Drosophila melanogaster: one gene and its partners. The protein of the gene in region 1 interacts with the protein of each later gene in a pairwise test. Each region holds a gene or a part of one and is shown in the gene's direction. Other genes may lie near its edges. The genes, in order: CG1635, dah, Rif1 and CG14183.

Region 1 (6,346 bases):
TTGCCAACAGGATCATAGAATAAAGGGCAAGTTCAATGCCGACATGGACAACATAGAGGACCTGCTTAAGGAGTTTCACAATAAGCAACTTGACGTTCAGCTTTTGGAACGCATGAGCAAGGACTTTGGGTTCGACTACCAAAAGATTCTTATTACCCAGATACTAAGCATATTGAGCGCCCAGGAGTTGCGCTTCGAGGTGAAGAGGGATACCTTCGGCGACGAGGAACTGGTTATGCTAAGCAGCGCCCAGGAAATGCGCGATATGTGCCAACCGTACATTAATGAAATCAATAATGTCGAGCTCTTTACTTCCAAGTTAAAACACTTTATTGAAGACGTAAGCTCACTGATGCCACAAATAATCTTTTTTTTAATATCTTTGCAAATCGTTTAGATCAACATTTACTTCTACGAGTTGTACATGTGTGTGATCAACATCCTAATGTACTTCGATTCGGCTCCGAAGGAAATGGAAATCTGGATGAACATTTTGCACTTCCTGAGACACAAGATGATCACCAGAAGACGCAATCGGCCAGGTCAGGTGGAAACCGACACGTGGCTGAAATCACAAAGGGAAAATGGCGTTATGCCGAAGATATCTCGATATCGTCTGCCTTTTAAGCCCATCGTAGAGCAACCTCTTAAGGATATTCTTGGTATATTCAACTGAAATAGTTTAATGCTTAATGCTTCTGTTTAATTATAGTTTCCGCTTCTTCTATTCAGACAGCGAACTAAACGTGGACAACTGCCAAAGCTGGTTTCCACTGATTCAGATGTACACGGCTTTGAAGGGATCCAAGGATAGTTCCCAGAACTGTGACTACTTCTGCATGTCAGCAGTAAAGAATTCGATATCGGAGTACAAGTCGAAAAATGATTCGGAATCATGGAGTCTTCATCCCACGAATAATGCCTTCCTGCAGTCAATACTACGACTGGTCGAGAAGGTGAACAACCCAAACAAGGCATTTCTAATACTGTACTTCGTGTCCAACTATGCTCGTGATGGAGCCGATCAGGTGGAGGCCTCCTACGAGTGCTGGAAGTTTGTCAAGGAGAAGGGCCACCTGATTACAGATCCAAAGAGTCGCGAGCAGGTTGCCAAGGTGAAGCGACGGTATCCTATTCAGAAGACCCAGCACCTGCTGTATGTCTATGGCCTGACCGATGAGAAGCTACTGCGCCAAGTTGAGAACCCCACCGAGCTTATTCAGGCGCTCTACCACCATGAGCTGATCCTCAAGTCCAGCAAAGTGGATATTAACGCTCTGGTCGCAGAGATAGCCAAGCTGCACGACCTCTGCTTAGCCACCATCCAGTACCGCCTGCTACAGAAGTGGCTCGCTCTGACTATGGAGTCTGCGGGTGATGGTACCATTTTGGAGGAGACCTTCATGGAGGAGCAGAACTGGCCGGAGCAGGCCAACGGCGCAGAGTCCTCCAACAGCCAGGACGCCAGCGAGAACGTAAATAGAGCGTTTTACATACTTTCCAGTTGGCCAAAGGCGGAGGCAGTCAAGTTCCTTGTGGGTCTGATCTTCAAGGGCGGGTAAGGATTGGTACTTAAAAGTTAGCGAAAATAATTCATTGAATAAACCCTTCCACCAGTTCGGTAAACACCTCCACACAGCTGCAAATGTACGAGTGCTATTCCAAGCTAAACGATGGCAGCAACTCCTTTACCAACACGATTAGCCAACGCCAGTTCATCAGCATCAAGTGTGTGCACGAGCTCAAGGCTCTGGGCTACAAGTCGAACCTGGAGAAGTTCTCCGACGACCATTGCAACAAGATTGACATTCTGAAGATGATCTGGCAGCGTAATGCGCAGAATCCCCTTTCGCTGGAAGTCATGGCCAACATTTGCCTGGGCTTTGATATACACTTGCCGCAGATCTGGAACGGCATTCTGAAGCGCATGGTCATGTTCCATATGGTGCGCGAGCTGAACGCCTTGTTGGATGTACTCAGCTGCCGGCCGCATCTACTTCACCTGGATGGACTGGCCCAGGCCTGGGACTATGTGCTCTGCCATCCTCTGCAGAACGCAGTCGAGCTACGATCCTTTAAGCAGGAAGAGGTGCTCCACAAGACGCTGCTGCGCCTGCAGGGCTGTCCGGTGGTGCACGCCCTCAACCTGCTACAGTTCGCCCAGCTCTGCATCGTCGTCCATCGACCGCACATGGCCGCCTCTCTACTCAGCTTCTGCCAGAGCAGCGAGCAACGCCAAAAGATCAAAAAGGTATGCTCGAACCGCGCACTTTAACGAAATGCTCTATTGTCACTCTAACTCTTCTTGCAGATGATACATTCCCATCCGGTGGAGAACCTTCGGCAACAGATCTTGGATCTGGAAGATGCTGGTATTTTGCCGGTGGTGCTGAACTTTGCGCTCAAGGAACTAAATCTGTAAGCGTAGAGATTTGGATTTTACTATTCCCATAATTTTTTGTTTTATTGGTCGAATATCTGCGTTAAGTGCGTTCGGGTCAAGATACTTTTGTAAATATCAAGGTTTTATACCTGCAAATATAGTTTATACAAACGATGACTATTTTCTATTTTAATTTTAATATGTTATTTTATATACAGTAGCAATTAGTCAATATTCAAACAGTACAATCTCTTAATTTCATAATTTATGCATCACAAAACAATGTGTTAATTTGAGAAATTGTCTAGGGAACTTCGCTTCCCAGTTTAAAATTAACAACAATCGGGATGACGTCATACGTATGTATCACTTCTGTAAACAGTGGGCTCAAGTTGATGGAATACTGAAAATAATGAGATATATTAGGATTTTTTTTAAATGAAGACTTTGTTGTGTAAAGAACAGTCAGTCTCAAATCAATTTAATTAAAGTAAATGGGAAAAAATTAATATACTAAAGAATCGAACTTTTCGAAATTAGTTGGAGACGAATTTTCTCGAGCCCACTGTACCAGTCAGCTGTGGCCGCCAGCTGTTTTCTATTTGGGGTTAGATCAAAGACAGGTTACACTTTGTATGTAACTTGAAAAGCAAGGAGAAAGCTGCGAAACTAAGTTAAACCGAGATGATGCGTTCTTTGATAGGAGCACAAAAGTGCTGGGGCCTGATCCGCACCAGGAACTTTATGGAATTACCCACCAAACAGGTGCCAGCATCCTTCGCATTGTTCAAGTAAGAGCAAAAAATAAATGATGAGCTTACATGGTAAATGAGTACTTTCATCTCTAACAGGCGTCACTACTCACCGCCCACGCATATCAAGCAATCAGCGGTCGCCAATGAATCCGGAACCATGGCGGAGGGTAAGTGTTGTCTTGCCAGAGTCAAACCCATCGTAATCCCCGAACGTCTGCAGTCAAGCAGGGGATGATGAAGCGATTGGGGCTGGAGCCCGGTTACAACCCGCTGCCCAAATCCAGGGAGCAGCTGCTCAAGTACCAGCCGAAGCTGGAGGATCTGCCTCCAAGAGCTATGCAGGATTCCTTCACCTCGGCCATCATTCCTCTGAGCACGGACCGCAGTTTGCAGGACAAATATGTGACCTATCTGGGCAATGTGCGATTCGGGCGACTTCTGGAGGACATGGACTTGTTTGCTGGTATGAGGAACACATTTGCTGGAATCTTGGCGCACTTTCTCACTATCCGCTATTTCCAGCTTGGTGCTGTCATAAACACCTGGTTCTGCCCAATCTGCCGGAGGGAGTTCATCTGCCGTACACCTTTGTGACCATTCTGGTGGACCGCATCGATTTCACCAATGTCTTGGCTTCAGGCACCCAAGATATCCGTTTGTCTGGGCACGTTTCCTGGGTGGGAACCAGTTCAATTGAGGTGGTAGTGTGGCTGGAACAGATGGTTGGCGGGAGGTACCAAAAGTTAACCCGTGCCTTGTTCCTGATGGCAGCAAGAAACGCTAACAATACCGGAGCGGCTCCTGTGAACCCCTTACAGCCGGCCAACGAGGAAGAGAAAGTGATTCTGGCTGGCGGCGCAGATAGAAAGAAGAAACGTCAGATTCTCTGTGCTCAGTCCATCTTTAAGGTGGAACCCAATGACCCGGAGCAGACAATTATGTACGAGCTGTACAAAAGGACAACTCCCACCAACACTTTGGAACTCAACAAGCGCATCCTGCCACCAAACTGTCGCTGGATGGAGGACTCTTTCCAGATGAGCACTATTCCCTCATTTCCGGAGCACAGGAACCACCACAACCGGGTCTTCGGAGGCTTCCTCATGCGAAGTGCCCTGGAGATAAGCTGGGCAGCAGCCTACCTCTACTGCAAAACGCGACCCAAGCTGGAGCACATATCCGACATCAGCTTCGAGAAGCCCGTCAGCGTGAACAGCTTCATCAAGATGACCGCCTATGTGGTGTACACCAAGGAGAACTACGTGCAGATCATGACCGTTGCAGATGTGATGGACCCACAAACGGGCAGCCAGGTGACCACCAACACGTTCTACTACACCTTCTCGTCTCCGGACACGGTTACCGAGGTGCTGCCCCGCTCCTACCACGAAACCATGTGGTACATCCAAGGTCGTCGAAAGTTCGAGGCCAGCATGGGCCCAGTGTAGACATGGTTCAGCCTGTGATTGTTACTCAAGATATTATGCAAGGCTATCCTACCAGATAAATGCAATTACCAGTTCAGTGTTTACAAAAAGCAATAAATGTCTGTTGTTTAATGATGTGCTTAACCAACCAGCTTAAAACTTTTAAAATCTTCTATTAAACCCTATCGAAGAGTACTAGATTAAATGTTTATTAATATAATAACTGTCAAAATAATCCCTAATTTTTGCCGACTTTACATTTTTTGGATACCCATTACCTGTAATCAAAAAAGCAGAGCTGAAGCAAAATTTATAGTTTTAATTTCGTGTCGGATCTGAGTTCAGATCTCGATCCCGATCCGTTTCCATGGGGCCTGGTCTTAGAAATGTTAAATTATGTGTTGTACCTTTTTTGCTCGGAGCCCGCAGCTGCCGGAGCTTGTTAAAGGCCAGGACCCTCAGGAAGATGACACATAAAAATTCCAGGTGAAGCACCAACACAACTAGCAGAAATCAGATTTTATAGGCCACATTTCTTCTAGCTCTAATGGGCGTAACTCCTCTGCGGACGGTCAATACGCCACTATGACGGAGAGTAAGTACTTCCATTCCAGAAATAGGTGCTACTTGTCCAGATATCCCTTTTAGTCAAGAAGAAGATGCTGAAAAGCTTCGGCCTGGAGCCTGGGTTCACCACGGAGCCGAAGTCCAGGGAGGATCTACTCAAGTACCAACCCAAGTTTGAGGACTTACCTGCGCGATCTATGCAGGACTCGTTTTGTTCGGCCATCATTCCTCTGAGCACGAATGCAGTTCTGCAGGACAAGTATATCAACTTTAGAGGCTTCGCGCGCCTTGGCAGGCTTCTGGAGGACATGGACATCTTCGCCGGTACCATCTAGTTTGGCCAAAGCCATGTTGTTGAATAATTGTCTGCTTAATTCTTCGTAGCTTGGTGCTGTAATAGGCACCTGAAAGTGCCCAATCTGCCAGAGGGAGTACCCTTGCCGTACTCCCTCGTGACGGTCCTGGTGGACCGGATCGACTTCACCAGTGTCTCACCCCAGGGCACCCAAGACATCCGTCTGTCTGGCCACGTGTCCTGGGTGGGAACCAGTTCCATGGAGGTGGTGGTATGGCTGGAGCAGATTGTCAATGAGGAGTATCAGAAAATCACGCGAGCTCTGTTTCTGATGGCGGCGAGAAATGCCACCAACACAGCTGCGGCTCCAGTGAATCCCATTCAGCCTGCCAACGAGGAGGAGAAGCGCATCCTAGCTGGCGGGACCGACAGGAAGAAGCAACGACAGCTACTCATCGCTCAGTCCGTCTTCAAGGTGGAACCCAACGCCGAGGAACAATCTCTCATCTACAAACTCTACAAAAGGACTACTCCCAACGAGCAAACCGGTCCGCGCCGCCTCCTGCCTCCCAACTGCATTTGGATGCACGACTCCTTCCAGATGAGCACTATTCCCTCATTCCCGGAGCACAGGAACCAAAACAACACTGTCTTCGGGGGATTCCTCATGCGCAGTGCCCTGGAAATTAGCTGGGCAACAGCGTTCCTCTACTGCAAGGCCAGACCCACGCTGGAGCACATATCGGACATTAGCTTCCAGAAGCCGGTCAGCGTGAACAGCTTTATCAAGATGACCGCGTATGTGGTGTACACCCAGGAGAACTACCTGCAGATCATGACTGTTGCCGAAGTCCTGGACGCGTACACGGGGAACCACGTGACCACTAACACGTTTCACTATACCTTCTCCGCTCCAGAC
Region 2 (7,232 bases), on another chromosome or scaffold:
AACCTCGAACTGTTCATGGAGCACAAGAAGGAGGGCGACGACCTCTTCGATCGTCTCAACACGCAGGTGCTTAATGAGCATCTCAAGGAGCTGATGGAAGGTGCGTATTTACAAATTATCTATAATTATTTTTCAACATACTTACTCGTCGCTTTTTATTGGCCAACGCAATAGGTCTCACGGCCAAGGTATTCCGTACGTACAACGCATCGAAAACACTGCAAAGTCAGCTGGATCTGTTGACCGATCCGAGCGCCACGGTACCGGAAAAGCTGTTGGCCTACAATCGCGCCAACCGTGCCGTGGCCATCCTCTGTAACCATCAGCGTTCCGTGCCCAAGAGCCACGAGAAGTCAATGGAGAATCTGAAGGAGAAGATCAAGGCCAAGCGGGAAGCCATCGAAAAATGCGAGTCCGAGTATCATGTAAGTATATTCGAGAGGTTCTTCCGCTAGCAGTATGTTTAATTGTTATAAACCAATGCAGTCGAGAGACGAGAAGAAGGGCAAACAGCTGGAGCGCCTAAGGGATCAGCTGAAGAAACTAGAACTACAAGAGACTGATAGAGACGAGAATAAGACCATTGCCCTGGGCACATCTAAGCTAAACTATCTTGATCCACGCATATCGGTGGCTTGGTGAGTGGTCTCTCCCTTCAAGCAGCACATTCCACTCAACGAGAACTAATATATATATATATATCATCCATTTGCAGGTGTAAAAAGCATGACGTGCCGATTGAGAAGATATTCAACAAAACGCAAAGAACCAAATTTCTGTGGGCCGTTCATATGGCCGATGAGAATTATCGTTTCTAAATGGGTTCTCCTCACAGCCACGCCTAGACACAAACACACAAGTACGCCGACCCTTCCTCCACCCACCACCACCCCTTCAGACACACACACAAACACACACTCGCACCCGATCGAAGAAGATGTAACAACAAACCACACCCACCACAAGGCCGGTTTATAAATAGATTCCATGCCAATCCCGCCATTGTTTGGTCCACAGTTTATGCAATTGATAGTGCATATGTCCAGCTTTCGGCCAACGCAATGGGGGATTGTTAGCCAAAATGAGCGGGACGGAATGCTGCACTACATCGTAGTCGTGGAACCGCTTGTACGCGTCCGTTTTGTCTGCTTTGAATGGGATTAATGGGATCAAGTGCATACTACGCCGAAGTCTAACTTGCGAAATGTGCACACCCAAACACAAGCTAATCCAATATATGTCAGTTTTATTCATTAAAGGCAAGAGGAGATGTGAAACCTGGGCAAGACGTCGCCGCCACCTAAAAACAAATCAGGAGCATAATTTTCTATGTCTCTACAAAAGAACTTTTTTGTCAAGATACCCTTATACTTCATAATTTTACATATAAAACATATATACATATATATATTTATATTTATGTATATAATAATATTTGTGTATATATTTTTATTTTTAATATAATACATACATTTACATAAATATATATATATAGATATATATATATATATAAAAATATAGATGTATATATATATCTATATATATATATATATATTTAATAGCAAAAGCAAACGAAAATTATACAATTTAAAACGCAATTTTTTTTATGTTTACCTATAGTTGATTTTGTTTAGCGAAAACAAAAAACAAAAACAAAAACAGGCATTTGTACATAACAAGCCAGCAATTAGTTACCAAATTAGATATTAACTAAATTAAGATATAATAACATTGTAAATAAATATAGCTGTAAGCCCCGTAGCTAATGCTATACTATCTAAGTTAGTCTAGTTTTGTAAACTATTCTATCTATCATAATAATAATAATAATTTGTATAAGTGCAAACTGAACAGAGAAACCTTGTAGCCCAACTTTTAGCATAGCATAATTTATTCAATTCAACTCTGAAGCAGCGCTATTTGTCGACCGACCGCCCCCGAAAATGAAGAACAAAGCCACATTGGATGGATCTCGATGTGGTTTCGCTTTGATTTCGTACCTTATGATCATTTTAGTTAACATTTCGAAATATACAAATGCTAAATTGATTTGCAGACAGACCCTTAACTTTCTATACTCTAAGCAGACAGGTTTCAAGTTCTCAACCGCAAACCAAGCCGCCATCACACTGAAAACCAATTGCAGATACAAATCAAACGAGCAATTCAAATAACTCGATGAACCAAAACAGAAACACAGCCAGCAAACCAGTCGCAGCGAAAGAAAGAACTTTAATCTGAAAGAAAGGAACTTTATACATATAGAATCTATAGAAGTATGTGCAATTAAGTGAGCTAAAACTATACCTTAAACCTTGTAAAAATCGAGCCTTCACTTGAATCCTTCAGTCGACGAGAGCAGTGGATTCAGGTGGAGTTAGGAACATCCCCAACATCCATGTGCCCCAATCCCATCAGCTACGATTATGGCCGTACTTTTAACTAAGCAAATCGATGGAAATTTATATCTCGCCTCACGCCCCCCCTAGCATAAATGGCAAACGCGCATTGCAAATGAAGAGCGAACGATCTTTATATACATACATATAAACACACACACACACACGCCCAAACACATATTATAATTAGTGATTGATATAATGTGAACGCAAACATCTGTGTGCGTTTGTCGTGGATTCGCATACGGAAGCGGGAGAATGCTTTTAAAAGGCAAAAAAAAAAGTTAAATAAACTAATTACGAACCCTTCTTCGAACGCCCAGCCCCGCCCCGCCCCGCCACAACACTCACATATAAACTTGGCATATTATAATATTGATATAAGCAAACAAAAAACAACAAGCGAAATGATAAGAAACCCACTATTTTAAATCGAAAGCAAAGTAAATGAAAAACAAAATAGCATAAGTGAATGTAATTGCAATGGAATGATGCAAATATACATAAAATATATATTTAATTTTAAAATCTATGTGACACTCTTTCCATTTCCTCGTTTTGGGTAATTATTCGCATTCAAAAGAAGGGTTTTTAAATAACTTTGTTTTGTTTTTGAAATTGGGAAAATACTATGGTGAACCCAAGTTGTTCAGTTTACATTTCCCGTTGCTCAAACTTATTTACCAATTATTATATCATGGTCAAATATTCTTAGAACGAACGGATGACTTAATTAATGATAATAATAATTTTGAATCAAATTTAAAGCGCTAACGGTTCGGCGAAGTGATATCGATAACACGCGCGGCGTTGCCACCTCACGCCACACAATTTGACTTTTGCGCTAACGGAAGAGGAAGAGATCGCGAGAAACGACGCGTTTAAAAGAGACTGAAATTAATTCGAGAATCAAGGGAAATATATAACAATAAACGCCTGACAAAATGCTGAGATCGTCGGTGCCCGTGCAGCTGACAAAACTGCGAAATAGCGCCGAGGCCGTGGCGTCCATTGCCCGCGAAAAGGGATCCCAAGGTGGCCAAGGACAAAAGCAACAGGTGGACAAAGAGCTATCCACCATCATGGATGACTTGCAGCGGGATTACGGGAATTACAAGTACACGGTATACCGGTGCGCCAGTAAATTTGTGGCGCTGCAAAAGATATTTCACAGTGAGTCAGTCGCGTAGGTGGTCCATTCGAAGGAGTCCCCAAGGATTAACCTTCAAATTGCAGCTGGAAAAATCCCCTACAAGCTGGTTTTGGCCATTTTGGATCGCCATAACTTGAGTGGTGGCCTGGAACTGATGGTTCCTCCATTCCAGTTGACCTCCCTGCTGCACGATGTATACTTTGCCTGCGAGAAACTAGGCCATTTCAACCAGGATGCGAACTATAAACTGGACAGGGCAACCGGGCTGTTGGCCAACTTCTTCTGGAATGTCTACGATCCGTGGGTTGAGTTTCTGGCATCTTAAGAATATGTCTGATATTTGATTGGTTTCGCTAGGCAACGCAGACACTCCATATCCCTGTTAGAGATCAGGATCACCTTCATACTGCTGTGCAAGCTATATAGCAGCGATCACCTGGTGGGCGACATCTTTGGCCTGCTGGCCGATCCCAAGTCGCAGATCATCTCCAGATATGCATTCGAACAGCTCCTAGCCACGCTGAGCAAGTTACTCAGCTATTTGGGCGAGGCCAAGGCCTATGGCGTCCACAATCTTCCGTTGGCTATGGAGCAGTGCTTTGCCCGCTGTCCGCATGGCGTTGGTGGACTGACCGAGCCGCAGTTCCACAAACTCTGGACGGGAGCGGGTGTCCAGACGAGATTCCTGATCTATGGCAATCTGCTGGCACTGGTGAAACGCATCGAGGACACCGAGCATTTGATTCACAGTAATTCTTGTGCCGGCTGCCGCAAGGAGCACATTGTGGGCATACGTTTCCGGTGTCAGGTGTGTAGGGATATATCGTTGTGCCTGCCCTGCTTTGCAGTGGGCTTCGCTGGTGGTCGCCACGAGCCGGGTCATCGGATGTGCGAGGTCTTCGTGGAGGATCAGCCGCCATTGCGTTGGACCCGCCACCTGGCCAGGCTGTGCGGCTGGCTGGTGATGCCGCGCAAAACACAGGAGGAGGAGCGTCGCGGCTTCTGTAATGCGCAGGAGAGTGGGCCCGCCTTGGGTCAATCCGCTGCCACGCCCATTCCCGCAGAGACGCGCAGTGTGCGCAGTCAGTGCCAGGAGAAGGACCGCACAGTTGTCCTGCAGCAACAGCAGCAGGAGCTCTGCTCCCTGACGGGTCTAGCCAGCGAGGCGTCCAGCAGGCTGCAGTCCATCATCGATCGATTGCTTTTGCAAAATGCGTGGGTGTTTTCCCTTCTTTCGCCACACTTGTTAGCCAAGCCTTAAGGTTCTCTTGCATTTCAGGAAGCTGGAAACCCAGCTGCAAACAGTGGCCACCGCATCTAGTTCGGAAATATCGCAGTTTCTGAGCGCCCATCAGTGCTTTCTGCTGCAGATTATCGAGGATATGCGACAGCTATCAGTGAGTTTTCCAAACATTCGGCCCATTTAAGCTGAGCTAACTCCATTTATATACACTTGCAGCATGCCTCAGCGGTAACTTCGCCGCCACCTGCGCCAGCTGCCCAAGTGGCGCCTTCAGCTGCGCCCCTAGTCAGCTCCACGTTCCTTAGCTCCAGCACGCCTCAGCGACAGATGCTATTCGACATGTATGCGCCCGTGGGTGCCAATCTCACGCACTCCAGTAAGAAGAGAACCTTCAACAGAGCCATGAGACAGCTCCACTAAGTTAATCGTTTCTTGTAGTAAATGGCGCCGACTTGAATCGCAGCTATCTGGAGGCAAACAAATCGGATTACTCGCTCAACGACATAAGCTTGTGGTTCGACCAGCGTCGCTCGAGTGTCCAGCCAGGACAAGGACCTGGTTCCCTGCCGGCTCCTCTGCCGCTGCCCATGCCGCTGGGTGCTCTACTGGAACAGCAGCCGGCAAACGGCGGAGATGGCCGCGACACCGAGATGGTGAACTTTAAGCTGCTGCTGCACAAGGTCAAGGAGATCGTCGAGGACTCGTACAGCGATAATGCCGAACTGTCGGCGGCCACGCAAAATCTGGAGAACGTTCTCGATAGCATCATCAAGAGCGAGGAGCAGCAGCGGCGCATCAGCACGTGAGGATCCGGATCGGATACCAACTCCCATCGATTCCAGCCAGACCAAGTCCACTTAGCTTTAAGTTGTAAAGTTGTTCTAAAGTAATCGTGACAAAATGACACAACCGAGTCATGCATTTATTATATCCTTCTTCCTTTTCCCATGTGCTTTAACATTCGCGTAAATGCTTTAATTTGTAAACTTACAACTCTGACAAGAATGCAATACAACAAAATGTTTTTATAAAAATATACAATGCAAAAAACACATTGTTAACAAAGCATTTACATACAAAATATCAACTTTGTAGATTTTCCAATGCAAAGAGAAGAAAAAAAAAACGCATTTACGCCCCATTGTCATCATCATCATCGGTGAATAGCATAGAAGCCAACACATCGCTGGCCATTTGTGCCTTGTGGAGCTGCGTCAGCTGCTCCCGGCGCTGCTCCACACTGGCTGCCGGCTCACTCAAAACCTTCCAGGCGTCCATCTCCTCGAACAGACTGTTTAGCAACTCCATCTCCATGTCGGCAGGCGACATGTTGTGCTCAGCGACCTCTAGCACATTGAGGTTGCAGTGCAGCTGGAGGAGATCGCGCGTCAGGCGATGCAGTAGCAGACGCAATCGATCGTCCGTTCTGGCGTACACATGCCAATGCTTTCCGGGATCGTCGCGAAGCAGCAAGGTGTCACACCACTGTGACTGCGGCTGGCGATTGTAGAAAATACGCTGGACAGGATCGGCGGCGATGTTGGAAGACTGAAAGTGAGACCCAGGCTCACTGTCGTCCAGCAAGTCGGAAGCTGTAAGGGATTATGAGTTAAAAGGGACAACAAGTGGTCTTGACAAAGCTACTCACTCGGCTCCTTGTTTGCTTCCTGGGCTTGGATCAACTGAAACTGCAGCGTGGAGACGAGTAGCTGCTCGAATGTCGTGCAATCCTGGGCCGACTGGAACTCCAATTTCAGGGAGCAACGTGCCGTGTGCGTCATAATAACGGCCAAAAAGTCTTGGTGCAGCGTGGCGGGCGAAAATGTGGGTGCCAACGATTCTGTTTTATCGAGCAGTTTCTTCACATCGAAGGTAATGAGATGGATTTGCCTAGGGGATGCATCCTCGCCCATCTCGTACGTTGCCATCAATATGAGTTTCTCTGCCTCAAGAAGATCGACCAGACGCAGGCTCACTACCATCGCGGCAGATCGTTCCGGCGGTAGTATTCTTTCCTTCTCCACCGGTCGCCATTTGAGACGCCTGCTATGCTGATCCTGGCAGGCCCAAAACTGCGCCAGCTGGTCGTAGTCCTCGGGTGGTTGGCCATCCGCCTGCAGAGGCAGCTCGTACAGGCGGTGCTCCACGCTAAAGTCGGTGTGTGGTTCGATTACAACAATCGGATACAACTCCTTGACTATGGTGAGGCGATTGGTGCCAGTTATGTTGACTAGCAGAGTGCCACAAACAAAATAATCGCCGCAGATCCGAGTCCATACATCGCCGAGTCGTCGGAGCGGCTGCTTCTCCTCAAGGAGCAGCGAACGCTGGCCCGGCGTGCCGAAGTATAGAAGGTCTTGGACGTGGGCTAATTCCTTCTGGTTTTGCATTCGCTGGCTGTCGAGCTCGGCTTGGGCGCGGTGCACCTCCTGCAGCA
Region 3 (9,355 bases), on another chromosome or scaffold:
CCAGCACCCACGACTTTGACTTCAGCCGTGACAACACGATGCTGGACGAGCGGTCGCGGGTGCGTGAGTTGGAAAAGCAGCGGGAGCGGGACAAGGAGCACAACGAGGCCACCAGCAAGGGAGCCACCGAGGCACACACCATAGCCAACGAGCAGCTGCTCTCCAAGACGGAAGTCATCAATCTGGCCATTGTGCCACAGTTTGACGAGGACTTGGAGCGTCTACAGCGGCTGCAGGAGAATGGTGGTCGGCGCCACCATAGGGCGCGACATCGTCATCGGCAACAGTCGGAGGAGGAACTGTCTGGCATCCATTGCATCATGCAGGTCATGATGGGCGTGGCCGCCGTGTCGACGGTCTTCGGCATGCTGGGCACCTTCTTCAAGCAACGCATCCTCGATCAGCTGCGCATGATGCACTGGTAGTACAACAAGGGGGATTCGATTTTCGGTGTCGAATGCCCCACATCCCCCCACCCAATCCCCGTTTCCTGCATCGTCATGATCATCATGCAGTCTATGGAGGCTGGCTAGCTGCCTTCGGGATGCAAGGTCCTTCTTCTACTACTAGCACTCATATACTCGAATATATACTCGTACTCGTACCATATGCCATATGCCATATATTAATCGCATAATCTATGTAACACAGCGGCATCGATTTGCTTTCGTCCCCTTCCGCTTCCTTATATATATTTATATATACATTTATATATCTATCTTATCCTTCGACATTGTGCTCGCAAATGCGGACACTTCCTTGCTACACATGTATTCTATATATTCGCATATATCAATTTACTAGTGCAAGCTACCCAGGCGATGTACATAATAACAGAACCATAATACGGCGATCGATCGATCCGGATATCTATGTATTTATGTGAGACGCAACTGTAGCCCCTGCCACACTCCGCCGGAAATTAGCTGACCCACGTCACTTCTTCCCCGTTCCTTCTTTCGCACGTTGTGTGCCCTATTTTCCCCTCCCATGTAGGACATTCTCAATCACATCAGCGTATACAAGCTTTAAGCAAGTCATTGCATGTGCCACGCCCCCTCGAACTGAACTGAACTCAACGCCCAACCCGCCCAGCATGAGTCCCGCAGCAAATACATTCCCTCCATCCCCCCACCATCCGTCATCCGCCAGAGGAACCAGTCGAGGAGCTCGGAAATTGAACGTAGAACAGATTCCTTTTGTAGATAGAAAACGAAACAGTTGTTGGGAGATGGTAACCAGACGAATGTCGAATGACAAACGATAAATAATGATAAACTAAACTAAAGTTCTAAACAAAACAAAACACAGTAAAATCGCACAGAAGCGCACGCATTACAAAATACAAAAACCTGCAACGGTCGTTTTAAACGCTCCGTTCAGTTGTCTCAAAGAAACGAGTAAACGATAATAAGTGCATAACGAAAACCTTCTTTAGTCTAAGTTGCTCAAAGGATAAAGTATTTTGATAGAACCGGAAAGGATCGAGAAACAAACCAATAAACCACAAAGAATCGAATTGAATCGTAACGAAACAAAGGCCCCAAACGTGTAACGAATTTCCAACAAATTGTTGCAAGTGTTTTCCTAGAATTAGTCCTAATTAAACTAAATGTGTGCAAATCGAAGCGTAACTAATATTACAATTAATCTAAACTAATTGAGGAAACATAAACCTAAACATAAATCGGATAACAACATCTAAGCTGGGTAGTCGCATGTAAATCTCTAACAATTAACAATTACCGACCTAAGTTAGACCTAAAAATCGAAACAAAATCGAATCGCATTTAAAGAAATCTACATAATAATAATAATTTATACTAATCTATATATACTTATATGTATGCTGTATGTATGTATGACCCTATATGTATATGTAAAATGTTTTTGACTATTTTTCACTATTTATATTCATATATATTATATATGCATATACGATACATGTGTAATAGCCCCTTTTGGTCATTTTAGTTGTCTTTTATATATATTTAATACGTGTATTATTTTTATTAATTATTCAAGTATAACTATGCGCACCAATTAAACGCATACCTTATGTATAACCTATTGACAAATATATATATATATATTATGTGTAATAGCTGTTGCTAAACCAAGTTTAATTATCAGTTTTTTATTTAACCTTTTTCCGGCGAAGCTTTCGACGGTTCACAGCCGCAAAATTGTGTTCAGCTAATTAATTAGGAAGAGAACGTGTCCCGAGCAATAATGGGGGAAATGACAATTATAATATTCATTTCTGTGTGTAACAATTATTTCCTAATAAAATTGACAAAGAAAAATGTTTAAAATTAAACGAGTTTGTGTTTTGCAACTATGTCGATCCATAAAAGGTGCAGATTCTGTATGATTTGCAATTCCACGTTTTAAATACTTTTTAGCTTGTAATTGGGGAGTTTAAAATGTTTAAAAATCCAATTGAGTCCCGCCAGTTACAAAGTTATTTTACGGAAATCAGTTGAGGACGGCGGTTCTTGAGCTCTACAATATCGAGTAAAAAGCAATAAACGAGTAAAAGCTAAAATAATAATAACGGTAGTCCTTTGTGATGTTGCTAGGATTTTAAATTTAAATTATTTTTAACTTCCGGCGTTGCACAAGTCTGGCAACTCTGAGTTTCACAATTTTGGTATTTTCATACTGTCGGCGATAACTTGTCGATGACATATCGACCTGCTTTTGCCACCTCTAGCCATAGCAATTCGCGCGCTTTTTTCTTCGACAGTCTTTAAAACTGCGGGAAAATAACTTGTGGCGTTCGCAGGCGGAAGAAAATAATATAATTAAATAAGCGTATCATCCAGCGTACGAGCCATGGATGTAGACTTCGGCGCGCAGGCGGGGCAGTCCTACCGCACGGTGCAGCTTTCCGCGAAAGAAGTGCTCGCTGCTGGCCGCCGTCAGCATTATTGCAACGTAAGTAGGGCACCCAATTGCAGCGCCAAGTATGTATCTCACTATAGCTCCGGCCCCCCACCTATATTTCCATGTGCACCACCAGATGATCGACTTGTTGGCCAGCAGCTGCAAAAGCTCCGGTTTGATAGCCACTTCCTTTACGGATGACGAACTGGTGGAGTTCTGGCTGGGAGATATCCTGCCGCTTATGTTCGATGCGGACCGAAAGATCCAGGACTGTGCCGTGGCAGCTCTTGCGGAGGCACTGGTGGCTCTTGACGTGTCCGTTATCCACTCGGCCAAGTGCTGGCCTCAGATCCGCAGTGAATTTGTCGACAAATACACCATCATCATCGGGGAGATGCGCGATGCTAAGAACTCCAACTGGCACAAAATATGGACGCTGCTGGTACAAATCATGGACGAGGATTTGCTCAGGGGCTGTGTATATATCAACAAATTCTTGGCTCTGGTTGAATTGGGCTTCCGCAACCCGGATAATGGTGTGCGGTCGGAGGCATTTCTTTGCTGGCGCGTGCTCATCAAGATCTTTGCCGCCTACGACGAACTGACATCCGCGAAGAGGCTTCGTTTGCTGCTGATCCCCCTGCGCACTTCACAATCGCGATCCTCGCACGTGAGTGGCATCAAGTTGCGAGTGTGGTGGTATCTGCTCAGCTGCCTGGACCACGAGTTACCCAAGTCTTTTGACAGCGCCGTGGAGCACTTTTTGGCTTTTATGCTAGGCGGAGGTCCACGAAATCTGGCTACGGGTCTGGCGCACAACTACCAGACGGCTCGGGAGTTGGCCCTGCCCTGCCTTGTGGCCCTTTGGGGCGTGGAGTCCAGTGAACCGTTGCAGCGTCTAATGAGAGAGCTACGCTTGGAGACCTTGGTCCAGCCCTCGCCTCTGATGAGCGTAGAGGTATTCCAACAGCATTGGAAACCTCTTTTGGCCGCTGCCGTTTCCGGTTTAAAGTTGCTTACCGAGAACGATGCCACAGAAGCGGAACAACTCCTGCTGCAGTTGCTCGTGCGGAATCTGTGCCTTGCCATGTTTCGGTTGGCAGTTGCTCCCTTCAATGTGGCGTGCTGCAGTGAAATCGAGAAAATCCTGCAGGCTGAAGATAACTCCGGTGGCCGAGTTGTACGCGCTCTTTTCAATACCATAGCCGCAGATAACTTGGTAATGGAGCGTGTGTCTGGAAGCGACCATCTTGATGTTCTGGAGGCCTACTTGAAACTTGTACTGAAATCCAAGACAGAAGTTCCGGCAGCAATTCTGCAGCGAAGTATCGCATGCATTTTCGCAGTCGATCGTATCGAGGCGAACAATCAGAACGAGTTCCGGATGCTGGGCTCCTTCGCTGAGCTTCTGATGCAGGCCAACGACGAAGAGGACTTTGAGGGATTCGCATTCAAGCTGCAGGTGTGGCGACAGGTGTCGCAGGCGTTGTCCAACTATCTGCGAAACAATGCGCTTGAATACCGTGTGGCACACAACGCTTCCCTTTTGGACACTTGGCTTTTATGGCCACTTCAGACACTGGCTGCCTTTGCGGGACGGCGTGCTAGCAACTCCTTCGATGCCTCTTTTTGCGATCAATGGCGCCAACTGGTAAACGCAGGCCAAAACGCGCCGGGGAGGAAGAAGTTCTTGACGGACCTGAAAGCCACACTTACAGACCTCCTAAAGAGCAAGGATGAACCGCTCTTTGCAGAGCTCTTCGATGCTTATGTGACCTCCTTAATCAAGTTTGGACTCTGTAAGGAGGCACCTTTGTATAAGGACGTTTTTGGGCTACTTCAAACCATTTTCGAGCAGCCCTCCTCCCAGAAAACGCTCGAAGCCTGTTTAAACACCCTCCGCAACCTGGTGGTGGAGTTGCGGCAAAACGAACTAATGGTAGTGTTCGATTCATTGAAACCAACATTGTCTTCTGGCATCCAGTGCTGGAATAAGATGAAGTGCGAAGGCGGATTCTTGGAGGAGTGGAAGCGGGGAATTCAAGAAAAGTTTCGCAAGCTACCCATGAAGACGATGGCCAATCAGCTCAAAGAACTCTTTAAGGCAGATGATCTCTTCGTGATCATCCCATCAGTGTGGAGTCTGAATCCAGAGAAGCTGACGGATCGTCAAAAGGAGCGCTTCGCTGAAAAGTCGGACATTCCAGCTCTGTACAATGATATGTCGCAGTCTCAGGACTCGGCTTCCATTAAGCCCTGGACCCCTAAGAAGGTGGTTATTGCAAAGAGCAAACAGGGTGAGCTGGCCTTAACCGGCAAGGATGACAACGGCGAGGTGATCGATATAACGGCCAGCGAGGAGTCTGAGAAGGAACCAGTGAGAGTTGACGTAGTTACACCCATCCGAAAGAAACCGGGGCGTAAGTCCCAAGCTCAAAAAGAACTCGAGGCCGCTGCCAGGGCTGCTTCTCTTGCCGAGGAGCCGCCAAAGCGTCAGACGCGAACACGGGCGGCTCAAAAAGAAACGGAACAGGTGGCTCAGCCACAGCCAGCGTTTGAACCACAGCTCAGATCGCCAAAGAAATTGCCACCGTCCCCGGTCGTTCAATCTACAGCAGGTACGTGAAACAAGTAACAGGTGAGCTAAGGATGTTAATCCCAACACTTGAATTTTTGCAGCTGCCGTTAAGCAGGCAAAGGTTGCAAAACCCACCCCCGTTGTGGTAATCGCGCAGAGCGAGGATCTTTTCCCGGAAGTCGCAGCTGAGCCAGAGCCTCAGCCAGAACCGGTTAAGAAACCCGACCCTGTTCCAGAAACAACACAACTGACCCCGCCTGATGTACCCTTGGAAGCTGTACCCTCTACCCAACTGCCTGGAAGCAGCGGAGATCCTGCCGCTTCTGCGGGGGCTGTGGCTGCCGGTGAGATGTCTCCAAAGAAATCAGGCACGCGAATATACAATTTGGTAAGTAAATCGCATTAGACTTGGTTAAAACGGTTACTTTATTACAATGTTTTTATGAACTTTTTTAATTTCCGCCTTCTTTTCGCAGAGCTCTCCACCTGATCGCAAGCAGACAAACAACTCCTCGAGTCCAACATTGCGGCCCAAGCCCACGGGACATCTGACTGGACGCGGTGCTCAGTTGATCAATATGATTCGCAACAAGAAGCTGGACGCTGCTTCCGGCTCGCCGTATGCGTGCATGTCTACTTCGCGCCTGGTTCACCAAGTGACGCCGGCCCGTGCCCAGGATCGCGCCGAGCAGGTGTCCACTCCCACCAGCGAGCTAAACGAGCTGACGGGCACGGATCACACTTCCACACCGATTCAGGCACCTCCCTCGAAGGATCTATTGGTGTTTTCCAAACGACTGCCATCCCCATCGGCCAGTCCCTCCGTAAGCATCTTGAAGCGCAAGCTACGATGCGAAAGTCTCGATGATGTTACTCTGGACTCGCCGGCTCTAAAGCGTAAGCGAGTTAGTTTCCACGACCCACCGGTGTCCGTCACCAAGGAGTATCTACGCGATGCTGAGGAGACGCGCAGCAGTTTGAAGCCCAAACGCTGTCTGCTTATGGACAAGGTGGCCCAGACCACCGAGATGCGCCAGGCGTTGAGGAGACGTGGTCGGTTAGACAGCATAATCGAAATAGAGCGTTTCGCTAGCGAACAGACGGCCAGAACAGCGACGACGGACAAGAGCCTGGACAAATCCACTGGCGAAGCACCCGAGGAGGATGCTTTCACCAGCTTAAAGTGGAACGACACAGGCAACGCGCACAACATTAGCATATCCGAAGAACCCGTCAAGGCGATGGAAGTGGAGTCTGAACTCGAGACAGCCGGCCAGGATCTAGCCATCATGGATCCAGAAGCCGCTCTTGATCTGGCGGTGGCGCAATTACCGCTGGAGTCGGTTTTGCAGCGCTACTTTGACAAGAGTCCGCTGAAGAGCGCCGGCATGTTGGCTAAGTTTCTGTCCGCCCAAATGACGGCAAACGAAAAACTTAAGACCAACGTGCTAGAGACTCTGTCGGAGAACCACTCCAAGGATTTCCTGGACCACGCTGTGCGCGAGAATCTGTCGTCGGTGGTGTGCGACCGCCTGAACCCGACCTCTGTGCTGGAGTACGTATGCGCCAAGTCCAAGATCAGCGCAAGTTGCCGCAACGGGCTGCTGGCCCAGGTACCCGAAATTCTGAAAAGCGGCCCACGTTCCGATTCTGAGCGCCTGGCCTTCGTACAACAACTGATGGTGCAGTGCAGCCCCGGTGACGACCTGCTCCTCGATCTCATTGACCTTCTGATGCGTACGCGTCGGGAGCGGAACAACAGCACCTCCACTCACATCTCCAAGGGCGTCGTATCCGCCGTTGGAAGCCCTGACAACGTGGCCGAGACCGCGGCCGACTCCTCATCAAACTTATAGATTGGACCTGACTTGAAATTACGAATGAAATATTAAGCACTTGGCCATTGAACTCGATTAAGTATGGGAAGTTCGATTGTAACTAGTTGGTTCTAGATAGTTAAGTTTAAATTGCATTATGTTTAAGATTTATATTATGCCCGTTGGTGTATTATGTTTTGCTGCAAAAACTTGCTTCATATTCTTACAATAAATTTAATATTTTATTATTATAAAAAGTAGAAAGTCATCAATATATTAGATAATATATATATATTGGTGGGAGAACTTATTTATTTTTAAGTACATCGATCATAATTCCTATAGATAAAGGAAAACAGCAAAAGGAACGAATTTGATAAGAAAACCCAGACAATTATTTTAACTTGTTTTCGAATTAAAATTAGTGTATTTAACTCTGGGAGTTCATATACTCAAAAGTCCACACTGCAGACAATGTTACCTAAAATCGTAATCGATTGCCATATAATCTAGGGAAATCTTATCAGTACGTCAAAAGTGACGTGACAGATACGTTTCCCATCAGGCAGATAAATAATTAGTATGATTTGTGTTAACTTCGTGTTAGCTATTCAGCGAGTTCAATGGTACATTGATCAAATATTGTCAGGTAATCATGATGGAATTGAAACGACTATTCTGAGTGATAAAGTGGTGCTGAATAGGTGTAGGGCATTCCAAAGTCTTAGAGTTGCGCTTTTTAGGTGCTTGTGATTATGCTGGATACTTTTGGGGGTCAGGTAGTGGCACCTTCAGTGGAGGGCAAGCTCCACGTAGAAACCTCCACTGGTGCCGGCCCAACCCTATCTGGTTGATTTGTTGTTCTGGTCGCGGCAAAGTCAAATTACCCCGCCATGTCCGCCGCATCCATTGATAATGTTCACGTGCTAGCAAACAACGCGTCGTCGCCGACATCGGCAGATAGAGATACGTCGACTGGCGACGCCGACGATCTTTAAAATATATACACTACACTATATGGCATACATGTGTGTAGGAATACGTCTACGGCGACGTCTTTCGCTGGCATTTGTGCAAATACTACAATATAATATTATGTTCCAACGTGGGCGGAGCGCTCTACACGCCACGGATGCGTGTTAGGTGCTCCGTCGGTGCTCCAACAAAGACGTTGGATACTTTGTATCAGTTACAGGCGGCGTGATAAGTGCGCTTTCGGCACAATTAGCCAGACGTTTTAATTTGGGAATGCCAAGGTCGTTTGTAGGTCTGTACTTAGCACTGCTGTTCGTAGGATCCCGATCGCCAAATCGGCGGATCTGGCCGCCCATATATATAAATAGCGATGGAAAGTTCTTGCCCAATTGCGCAAGTGAAACTGACCTACCTAACCCAGGCCATCTCGTGTACGATGACGCAGTCCGTCCGTACTTAAGTCTTCTGCTCCGTCTGCTCTCTGTCTGCGGAATCGGCCAGCCAGTCAGCCGATCGAGAGCACAGTCAAATGTGTCTAACCCTCCCCTCGCAACAAAGATACTACATATTCATACGCCCCATGGACCGGTCGTATCCATATGTGATTCATTCATAAGCCGGGTGCCCTCGAAACGCGTGAGGCACTTGTGAAATGGCCTCTCTTATCAGGCGGTTAGTTCCCGAATCGATTTCGATGGCGAGCCGTGGAAATTCACGGAAGAGCAGCCTTGCTGGCCCGCGTTCCTATCAGCAGCACTCGCCGCATAATTGAATAATCTGAATCTGCCGAGCGAAGAGCGCGAAACAATAAAAATATCAGATACGCTGCCCGACCGCCGCCAGTTACAGAACAAATTCGCTGCGAACACAACGTGGGCGCATCTCGCAGGTGCCAAAAACGAGGTAGAAAGACAAAGACAAGCAAATGTGCGGGGGGTTTTTGAAAGCCACCTATATAGAGATCGGTTTATAGCCACATAAATATGTACATATATCCGTCGGGTATTTTGCTTAATTTTCGATGAAACAATTTGTGACACAGAATAAACTTGTATAAAAAAAACTAATGCTTATCGCATTCTTGGATAACACTTTT
Region 4 (7,493 bases), on another chromosome or scaffold:
ATGCAACAATGAGCCGGAGAATTCTGAACCTGAAACTGGCTGGAAGTCGAAGGCCCTAGATAAAACACCAGCTGAATCCAATCAGCGGCGACTGGTGCCACCCCGTGGGCAATCAAGTGGCAAACTGCTTCGCGGGTGCTCATTAAGTCGTTAATGTGGTTGAGGTTTTTTGCCTACAGTTCCGCCGAACCACGCCCATCCAGACCAAATGAGCTAGCAGAAATTGAACTTTGCAAAGCCATCAAATTAAATAAATACTGAATATAGTGTTTCCTCACAAGTGAAATGCTAAATGCTCTTAGCATAAAAAATAAATATAATTTATTAAAAAAATTTTATGTATAATGCATAATTTGTATATAATATTTGTTTTCCTGGCTGGTTAGTATATCATCATAAATCTAAAAACAATGGACTTACTCAGCTAATGAGCTGTCTAGATAAAACCCAACATCCTCGAAGGAAATCCCTTAGATGGCGTATCGCAAAATGACGATGTAAGATGCCTATTCCCGGTCGGCAAGCCGCAGACATATGCACCTCCTTAGATGTACTGATCGATATCCTTTGGGGCCGTGTGCAGGCGCAGGATAATTGAATTTGAAGTGAAGCTGCTCCTTGTGGCAGTTATGAAATTTCTAGCCCGGCTTCCGCTGCCAGGGAACGGAAACAAAAGCGGGGCAAAACGAAGTTACAAGTTGCCAGCAAGTGTGAGTGTGCGTCTGGCTCAATATATGGGCATGGTGCCGGGTCTGGAGGTGGCGCAAAGGATCAGGATGCGATGACGAGGCCCACATCAGTGCTGCCAGGAGGAGACAATAAATTCACTTAGGCGGCGGAAACAGAAGAACAAACTGAAGGGAAAACTCAATAAATTAGACCGTATTGGAGAGAAAAACTGTTTTTTAACGGCCATATTAAGTTTTAAATTCTTATGAATCTTGAACTTTTTCACTCTACGTAAGATATTCGAAGAACATCAGCCCATTCAGAAACCCCAATATTACACATTATGTTATTATGGTTTTACATTTTTCAGAGGTTCTTCTTGTGGAAAGGATAGCAAAAGCTGTCAGCACTGCCACACATGCCCCCATGTCATGCAGCCTCGGCAATGAATTTGCGTTTCCGCCTCGCCGCTTTCGCCATCATGGTTAACCGCGTCGTTGATTTAAGGGCGTTCTCCGTTCCTTGCGAGTAGCTGGCGTACTCCGCATCCTTTGTCCTTACTGCTCGAGCGACACAATTAAAAATGTGCGGCCCAATTCATTTGATTGGCACGAAGGAAGCGACGAGATAAGCAACTTCCGTTGGCTGAAATTTTGGCATCTTCATCAATCAAGAATGTGCTCGTTCTCGTGGGCTGGCTGTTGGGGAAAATGTCATATAGGTTGATAGAAAAAACAGCAATATAAATATTTCAAATTAATAATTGATGTCTACCAAAAGCAGTTAAATTTTTTAATATCTTCACAATTATTGCCGATTTCCAATAAAAATATAACAAATTAATAAAGTATAAATTTAAATCAACTTAATTCCCAATAAAAAGTATTTCATAATAAATAAAACAAGGATAACGCTAGGAACAGTAAGTAATAAACTAGTATTCCCTTATGAAAACCCATGAATTTAATGTCCGATTAAAATTGTAATATTTAGCGCCTAATCGATAACAAGTATGTATACAGCTGTTTTAAACTGTCTGGTAGCACTGATCTTATCGAATATGTACAATTCCATCCCTAGAAAAACTTGCATAAAAAATAAAGAACAATTGAACAATTGCATTTAGAATGGAGTATGTGCACTCTGTTTGGAGCTACCTAGCCTCGATCTGCAACTGCTGGCAATGCACCGAAGATCCAGGTGCGCAGGTAATCCGCACATTCCCCTTTCCCCGTCAACAGACCGAATACACAATGCGTTCCATCTGCAGCCCAACGAGCCGAACGAGCGGACACACCTTCTCGTGGACCCGGTGAACCATAGTCCTGCCCTTCGACGGAGCAACTCCGATGGCCTCAGCACCGACTACGCCCACTCCCTTCCCAAGAAGGACGATCAGAACGCCCTCTCCAGACTGGTGCAGAATACTGCGATGTACGTAGTTGATAGTGTATAGGGTCCACATTTGGCACTATCATATACAATTCCATTGATTGGAATGCTAGCATTTTACAGCGATTGCTATACTATACTATACTATAGTAGTATACCTACGTAGTTATAGCGATGGCAGGATCTAGTATGTAGTATGGTTATACCCAAGCATTTATCGGGATGTTCAATGCAACAAAGCAACACAGCCCTAATTATCGCTTATCTATATTATATTTGTATTCGCTTATACGCTACTTTGCTCTCCAGAAACATGATAAACGTTGGAGCCATGGACTGTCACAGCCTGGAGCACCAGGAGTACGCCGATAGAATAAGATTGTACTCGCAGCGGTTGCATCAACAGTGGAACAACGGCCAGCACGCCAGTATCGCACCAAAAGGTTTGCAATATAGCTAGATTGAAAGGGTGAATGATGACTAACAATTAAATGAACAACAGGTCTCCTTAAAGATGTACCAAGCCATCAGTTCTATCTGTCTAAGCCAACCTATCCAGATGACACTGCTCAAGTGAGTTTTACTTTTCGCAAATTGCTTGTTGCTTACCAATTTCGTATGTTTTTAGATGAAGCTCTTCACCGAGAAGGCACACATCAGTGTCTCGCACATACAGATCGACCACAAAGAGGCCGTGGTTGTTCCCTTCCGGATTCCCTGATTATCGTATCTTAAGTGAAATAAAGTGATAAATTTATATAAAATCAAAATCTATATTGGTACTAAGTAGCCCTTGAATAACCAGGTAATCGACTTATTTTCATTAAGTGTACAGAAGCAAATAAATACATACTATATTCTTAACACGGCAAGACATTTTTTTTATTTAGGAAGGCACACACACACACATATAGCTAAAATCCAAAATGTCGTTCGATCTTAACCATAAATTTTGGGTCTACACGCGCAAGGAAATTGGTAAATTAATCAAGAAGCAGAACCGCCTGAAGAAGATTGAGCCGCCAGAGGAAAAGGCAGTATCGTATAAAATTTACGCAGAGCTCTATGTTTTGTATGTGGAGCTGGTCAATAAGTTAAGTTTCATATACCACAATACTTTCCAAGTGCAAAAGCGGGCATTGGTACGTGTTTTGGTGGAGAATGCCACTCAGCAGCTAATGCAACTCAAGGAGGAGTTAAAAGACTTGGAAATGAGCGAATACATTTACATAGATAAGGCGCTGATCGCTAGGAAGCTAACACCACGGGACCTGGTCGTATGGAGGTCACCACAATTCCTTTACCGTCGCCCGTTGGACATTCAAAATATCATTGCCGACAACCGATTGTACATGAACGATGAGGAAAAGGAAGAAAAGGCAGCCCAGGATTGGGTTCCGATCAGTGAGGCGGTCAAGCTTATCCAAGCTCACGAGAGGGCGCGCCGAGCTCGGGTTTACAAGTCCAACATAAAGTACGACAAGAAAAAGTTCCTCAAGGTCCATCAAAGAAAGAAAATAAATTACAAATTCACCTTTAAGCCTGATCAGGCAATGAGTATTCCCGTGAAGAGAACCATTTTTTCAGCTGACTTCTTGAAGGCGGACGAGTCCTGCGAAAATCTTATCAAAAAGGATGATGTAGCGGATACCGCAATAGATGGCAAGTAGCTAGATCGTTTCAAAACAATTAATTTGGTTTTTAATTATTTTCTAGATGAGGAAGCCTTAAGTGCAATACAGAACAATGCTGCTTGTAAAATCCAAAGTTGTTGGCGTGGTTACAAGACGCGGAAAATAGTTAAGATTAGGAAGCGGTTCAAGGAGGAATTGTATGGTATGAAGAAAATTAGGAAACTGAAGCGACCCAATCAGACGGCAAATTCTATTATGGAAATGTACAAGAACGAGATGCTCAAGAAGAAGCTGGATGAGGACTTCATCAACTTGATCAACGATGAGCGCACCCGATTGCTGCAATTCCGAAGTCCATGGATGATGGAAGATATATCCGATCATATCCGGGCATGGTTCAAGGAATTGTGAGTTGTTTTTCATTGAGGCAAAAAAGGCAAAAACGTATAACTCGTACTTAACAGCTACGACGCGACTGGGAATTTTCATCCTTATCCCGATCCTGTAAAACAAGGAACGGTACTGGTTGTCATTGATGAAACAATGACGCCAATGGAATTTCAGGAAAGCCTTGGTAAAAAGCCGCTGTCAAAAGCCGAGTTGAAGAAACTTCGCGATAAGGAGAAGAAAGAGAAAAGGAAAAAGAAGGAAAAGCTAAAACAACTGAAAATGAAGGAAGCTAAACGTCGGAAGAAATTGAGAGACGCTGGAGTCATCGATATTGGCTACGAGCTAACTGCAAGCAAGGCAATTGGTAGATAGTTTGACTTAATGGAGAATGTTTCCATTGTCTCCAAATACTCTCTTCAATTTTAGAAAACATTGAAGAAACAATGAAGAAGTACTCCAAGGACTGGAGAAATGTCGATGAATATCTAAACAAGAATCATGATCCCATCAAGGAATGGGTTACTGAGGAGCAACTGGCAAAGATTCATCAGGAAGTGAGGGGCTTGGTCGACGAATACATGAGGTAAATTTATTTATATTTACAATGAAAATATAACTTTTCAACTTCCAGGGTTGAGTATGAGTTGCTGCGGGAGGCCTTGGCGAAGGATAACGATGAGAAGTACAAGGCTCTCAAGGTGAAGTATCCTAAGAAGAAGAAGGAGAAGAGGAAGAAGAAGCCCAAGGACATGACAGGCGATCGGACACTGGAATCCCTGTACAATGAGCTCAAAGATGCCGGCATAATAGAGGAAATTGGTCATAGGGACTTTGATGAGTTCATAACGGACTTCAACTTTGTGGCAGACGACACTCGAGATGAAGATGGCTTAACGTATGTTGTAGTTATTTGTTGAAAGAGCTACTAAGCCTAACAAAAAAAATTAATATCGATTTAAAATTCAGCACATTGGGCCCAGCAAAGGGTGACATTAAAATGGTTATCCAAGAGTCGATGCTGGGAATGGGCGAATTCGATGTTCCGAAGCCGAAGTCTCTTTTGCTAATTGGACCTCTGAATAGCGGAAAACGATTGCTGTGTGAAATCATTGCATCCGAACTAGGTATAGTAACATTTTGTTGGGAATTGTTCTTTTTTTTTTTTTTTTTTTTTTTGTCGGAGCACTTAAACCTTCTGTCTACTCCAGATGCAGTTTTTATGAACCTAAGTCCCGAGAATACCTACAAATATGCCAAAGACTTGAAGTACTTCCTGCATGTTATTCTAAAAGTGGCTAAGGCTTTTCAGCCCACCATAATGTACATCGAGGAAGCGCATAGACTATTTTGGAAAAAGGTTCCGCCTGAGGCAGTGGAGATTAACCCCAGACTGCTGGGCACCTCGTTAGCTAGCAAGATCTTGAAACCACTGAAGAAAAATGACAAAATTGTACTAGTCGGCACGAGTAACATGCCCTGGGCGGCCAATGGAGGCATCAAGCGAGCGTTCCAAAAAGTACTGCTTATTCCGAAGTGCGATTACGGCACTAGCTTCCTGCTGTGGCTGGAACTGATGACCGAGAACGCGCCAGATGACATGAAGGAGTACGCCTACTCGGCACTGGCACGCGTCCTTCAGGCGTACAACTCCGGCGACATTGATGATAACGTTAAGGAGACCTTGAACATCGACCGTAAGATGCGACTCAAGAATGAGGCATTGGATCCGAACGAGTTCCTTGAATATTTCCTGAGCAAGAATGAGCCTCCCATTTTCCCTCCAGATGAGAAGGTATACTTGCTTACTTAATACATGTTTAGCAACTAAGTCATTTAACTGAAATTCTTTTTAGATAATGGATAAGTTCAATAAATGGTTCGGCAGCTCAAACAAGCTGGAAAAGCTGAGAAAATCGTATATGGCTCAAAAGTTGGCGAAGGCAAGCAAAAAGAAATAAATAAATCAGTTTAAAACTTATTTAAATATGCATTTTCATATATAACTATTTGTAAGTGTAAACTTACCTTGGCCTTAAACTAATGATACTATGGAAGTGCAGATGTTCTTTGTGTCTTTTTTATTGAAAATATATAACCAAAGTTTTCCTATGGAAAATAGTATCTAACGAAATGAAATAATTTGTGTAAAATGTAGTTCTTATATATTAAGCATGTCATTTAATTGTTTGTTTGTTGTTGTGGTAAAAACTCCTCCAACTCAGAATCTTCAATTTCACACAGTCGAACCGAAATGTTGCTGTTGGATCCAATTTCTCCGACAGTGCATGGAAATAGGTATGCCTCCTCTGAATTTTCTGCATAATTAGAGAGAATCGTGATATTTGTAAGATATGTAAAGGCATTTCCCTTGCTTACCACTTATCGTCCTCCTGGTTTTTATTTCCATCCTAGAAATCGGCCCCTCGGTCATAGAGCTTTCCCCATCGGTCTCACTTGGAAAATGCATCGTCGGTAAATACGAATCAGGATGTCTTAAATATACTTTGCCTGTGGAATAGATCAGATATGGACATTTTGAAGTAAGATTCTTGTAACATTTTATGTGGTTAATATGCAGTAACAAATATTTTTAATTTAATACAGGTTCAGTATAAAAAAAGCATTGACCTAAATTTATAAATAACCATTGGACTATTACTTATAATGAATACAAAACTTACACGAATGACTAACTTTCGACGGTAAAGGCACTGATTGCATGAAATGAAGTAGTTTAATAGGTTAGTATACAAAGATGTTATTTGTTAGAAAGTTTAAAGGAATAACAAAATTACTTATAAGAGGAAAGAGTTAGATATTGTGTGCAATATGTATTAAATAAATTGTTGAAATTATAAAATGAAAAATGAACTGCGATTTTGTAACAGCCAATAAGATAAATCAGCTTGTTATGAACATAAACATGAAAACGTTTAGTGATAATAATCAATTCCTTTTTTTTTTTTTTTTTTTTTTTTTTTGTATTTTATTAGATGCATTTAACATTTTAACGAAGGGTTTTACCTGTATTTGATTTATAGTCTTCATTCTCGATATTATTAAAAGAACTCAGTCTTGAAAGTGGCTGATTACTTGATCTTGGCAACATAAACGGCTCCAAGCAGCTCTCTGCCTCCGAGTCCAAATACTCCGATCCGATATCCTCATTCAACGCGGCTATATCCCTCGTCGGATCAACATCTCCGTCTTCCCCTTTTGGTGGTGAAATCAGTTATTGGTCCGGGAAACGAGTTTTAAATTCTATACTTACTGTGCACGAAAAAGGCTTTCTTCGACTTGGACTCGTTGCTATCGTTGCTGTGTAAGCTCGACGAATCAGCTATTTCTGCTCCAGGAACTTCGGTTATATCTGGCAAGGGATTATGGCTTTTGCGAACCCAGTCGGAA

Evidence for each region.
Region 2: the proteins of CG1635 (region 1) and dah interact in a two-hybrid assay, tested with the Drosophila melanogaster proteins (one large-scale study listed by BioGRID).
Region 3: the proteins of CG1635 (region 1) and Rif1 interact in a two-hybrid assay, tested with the Drosophila melanogaster proteins (one large-scale study listed by BioGRID).
Region 4: the proteins of CG1635 (region 1) and CG14183 interact in a two-hybrid assay, tested with the Drosophila melanogaster proteins (one large-scale study listed by BioGRID).

What each region holds. Positions count from the first base shown.
Region 1 is NT_033777.3:31,585,686-31,592,031, forward strand, and holds CG1635 (uncharacterized protein), read left to right. Parts: upstream 1-2,987; 5' UTR 2,988-3,067; coding exon 3,068-3,174; intron 3,175-3,234; coding exon 3,235-3,305; exon of another isoform or gene 3,306-3,358; coding exon 3,359-3,601; exon of another isoform or gene 3,602-3,660; coding exon 3,661-4,586; 3' UTR 4,587-4,707; downstream 4,708-6,346. Other genes in the region: rod (rough deal), read left to right, coding at 1-340, 398-662, 733-1,558, 1,618-2,251, 2,312-2,422; CG1638 (uncharacterized protein), read left to right, coding at 4,933-5,051, 5,108-5,160, 5,214-5,456, 5,517-6,346.
Region 2 is NC_004354.4:15,325,101-15,332,332, forward strand, and holds dah (discontinuous actin hexagon), read left to right. Parts: upstream 1-3,241; 5' UTR 3,242-3,343; coding exon 3,344-3,572; intron 3,573-3,635; coding exon 3,636-3,852; intron 3,853-3,909; coding exon 3,910-4,767; intron 4,768-4,831; coding exon 4,832-4,949; intron 4,950-5,011; coding exon 5,012-5,171; intron 5,172-5,233; coding exon 5,234-5,601; 3' UTR 5,602-5,902; downstream 5,903-7,232. Other genes in the region: Top1 (topoisomerase 1), read left to right, coding at 1-100, 175-425, 487-638, 716-818; CG9114 (uncharacterized protein), read right to left, coding at 5,927-6,387, 6,444-7,232.
Region 3 is NT_033778.4:15,862,490-15,871,844, reverse strand, and holds Rif1 (Rap1 interacting factor 1), read left to right. Parts: upstream 1-2,697; 5' UTR 2,698-2,838; coding exon 2,839-2,940; intron 2,941-3,025; coding exon 3,026-5,507; intron 5,508-5,568; coding exon 5,569-5,855; intron 5,856-5,943; coding exon 5,944-7,323; 3' UTR 7,324-7,536; downstream 7,537-9,355. UniProt on the Drosophila melanogaster protein: Regulates the timing of initiation of DNA replication. Functions in copy number control by promoting the underreplication of DNA, which is found in many late replicating euchromatic regions of salivary gland polytene chromosomes.
Region 4 is NT_037436.4:20,023,256-20,030,748, reverse strand, and holds CG14183 (uncharacterized protein), read left to right. Parts: upstream 1-2,913; 5' UTR 2,914-2,987; coding exon 2,988-3,723; intron 3,724-3,777; coding exon 3,778-4,102; intron 4,103-4,159; coding exon 4,160-4,449; intron 4,450-4,511; coding exon 4,512-4,668; intron 4,669-4,716; coding exon 4,717-4,980; intron 4,981-5,051; coding exon 5,052-5,209; intron 5,210-5,293; coding exon 5,294-5,877; intron 5,878-5,938; coding exon 5,939-6,043; 3' UTR 6,044-6,062; downstream 6,063-7,493. Other genes in the region: Lamtor1 (late endosomal/lysosomal adaptor, MAPK and MTOR activator 1), read left to right, coding at 1,797-1,877, 1,940-2,103, 2,371-2,504, 2,564-2,634, 2,690-2,782; kug (kugelei), read right to left, coding at 6,264-6,400, 6,462-6,593, 6,767-6,796, 7,110-7,298, 7,357-7,493.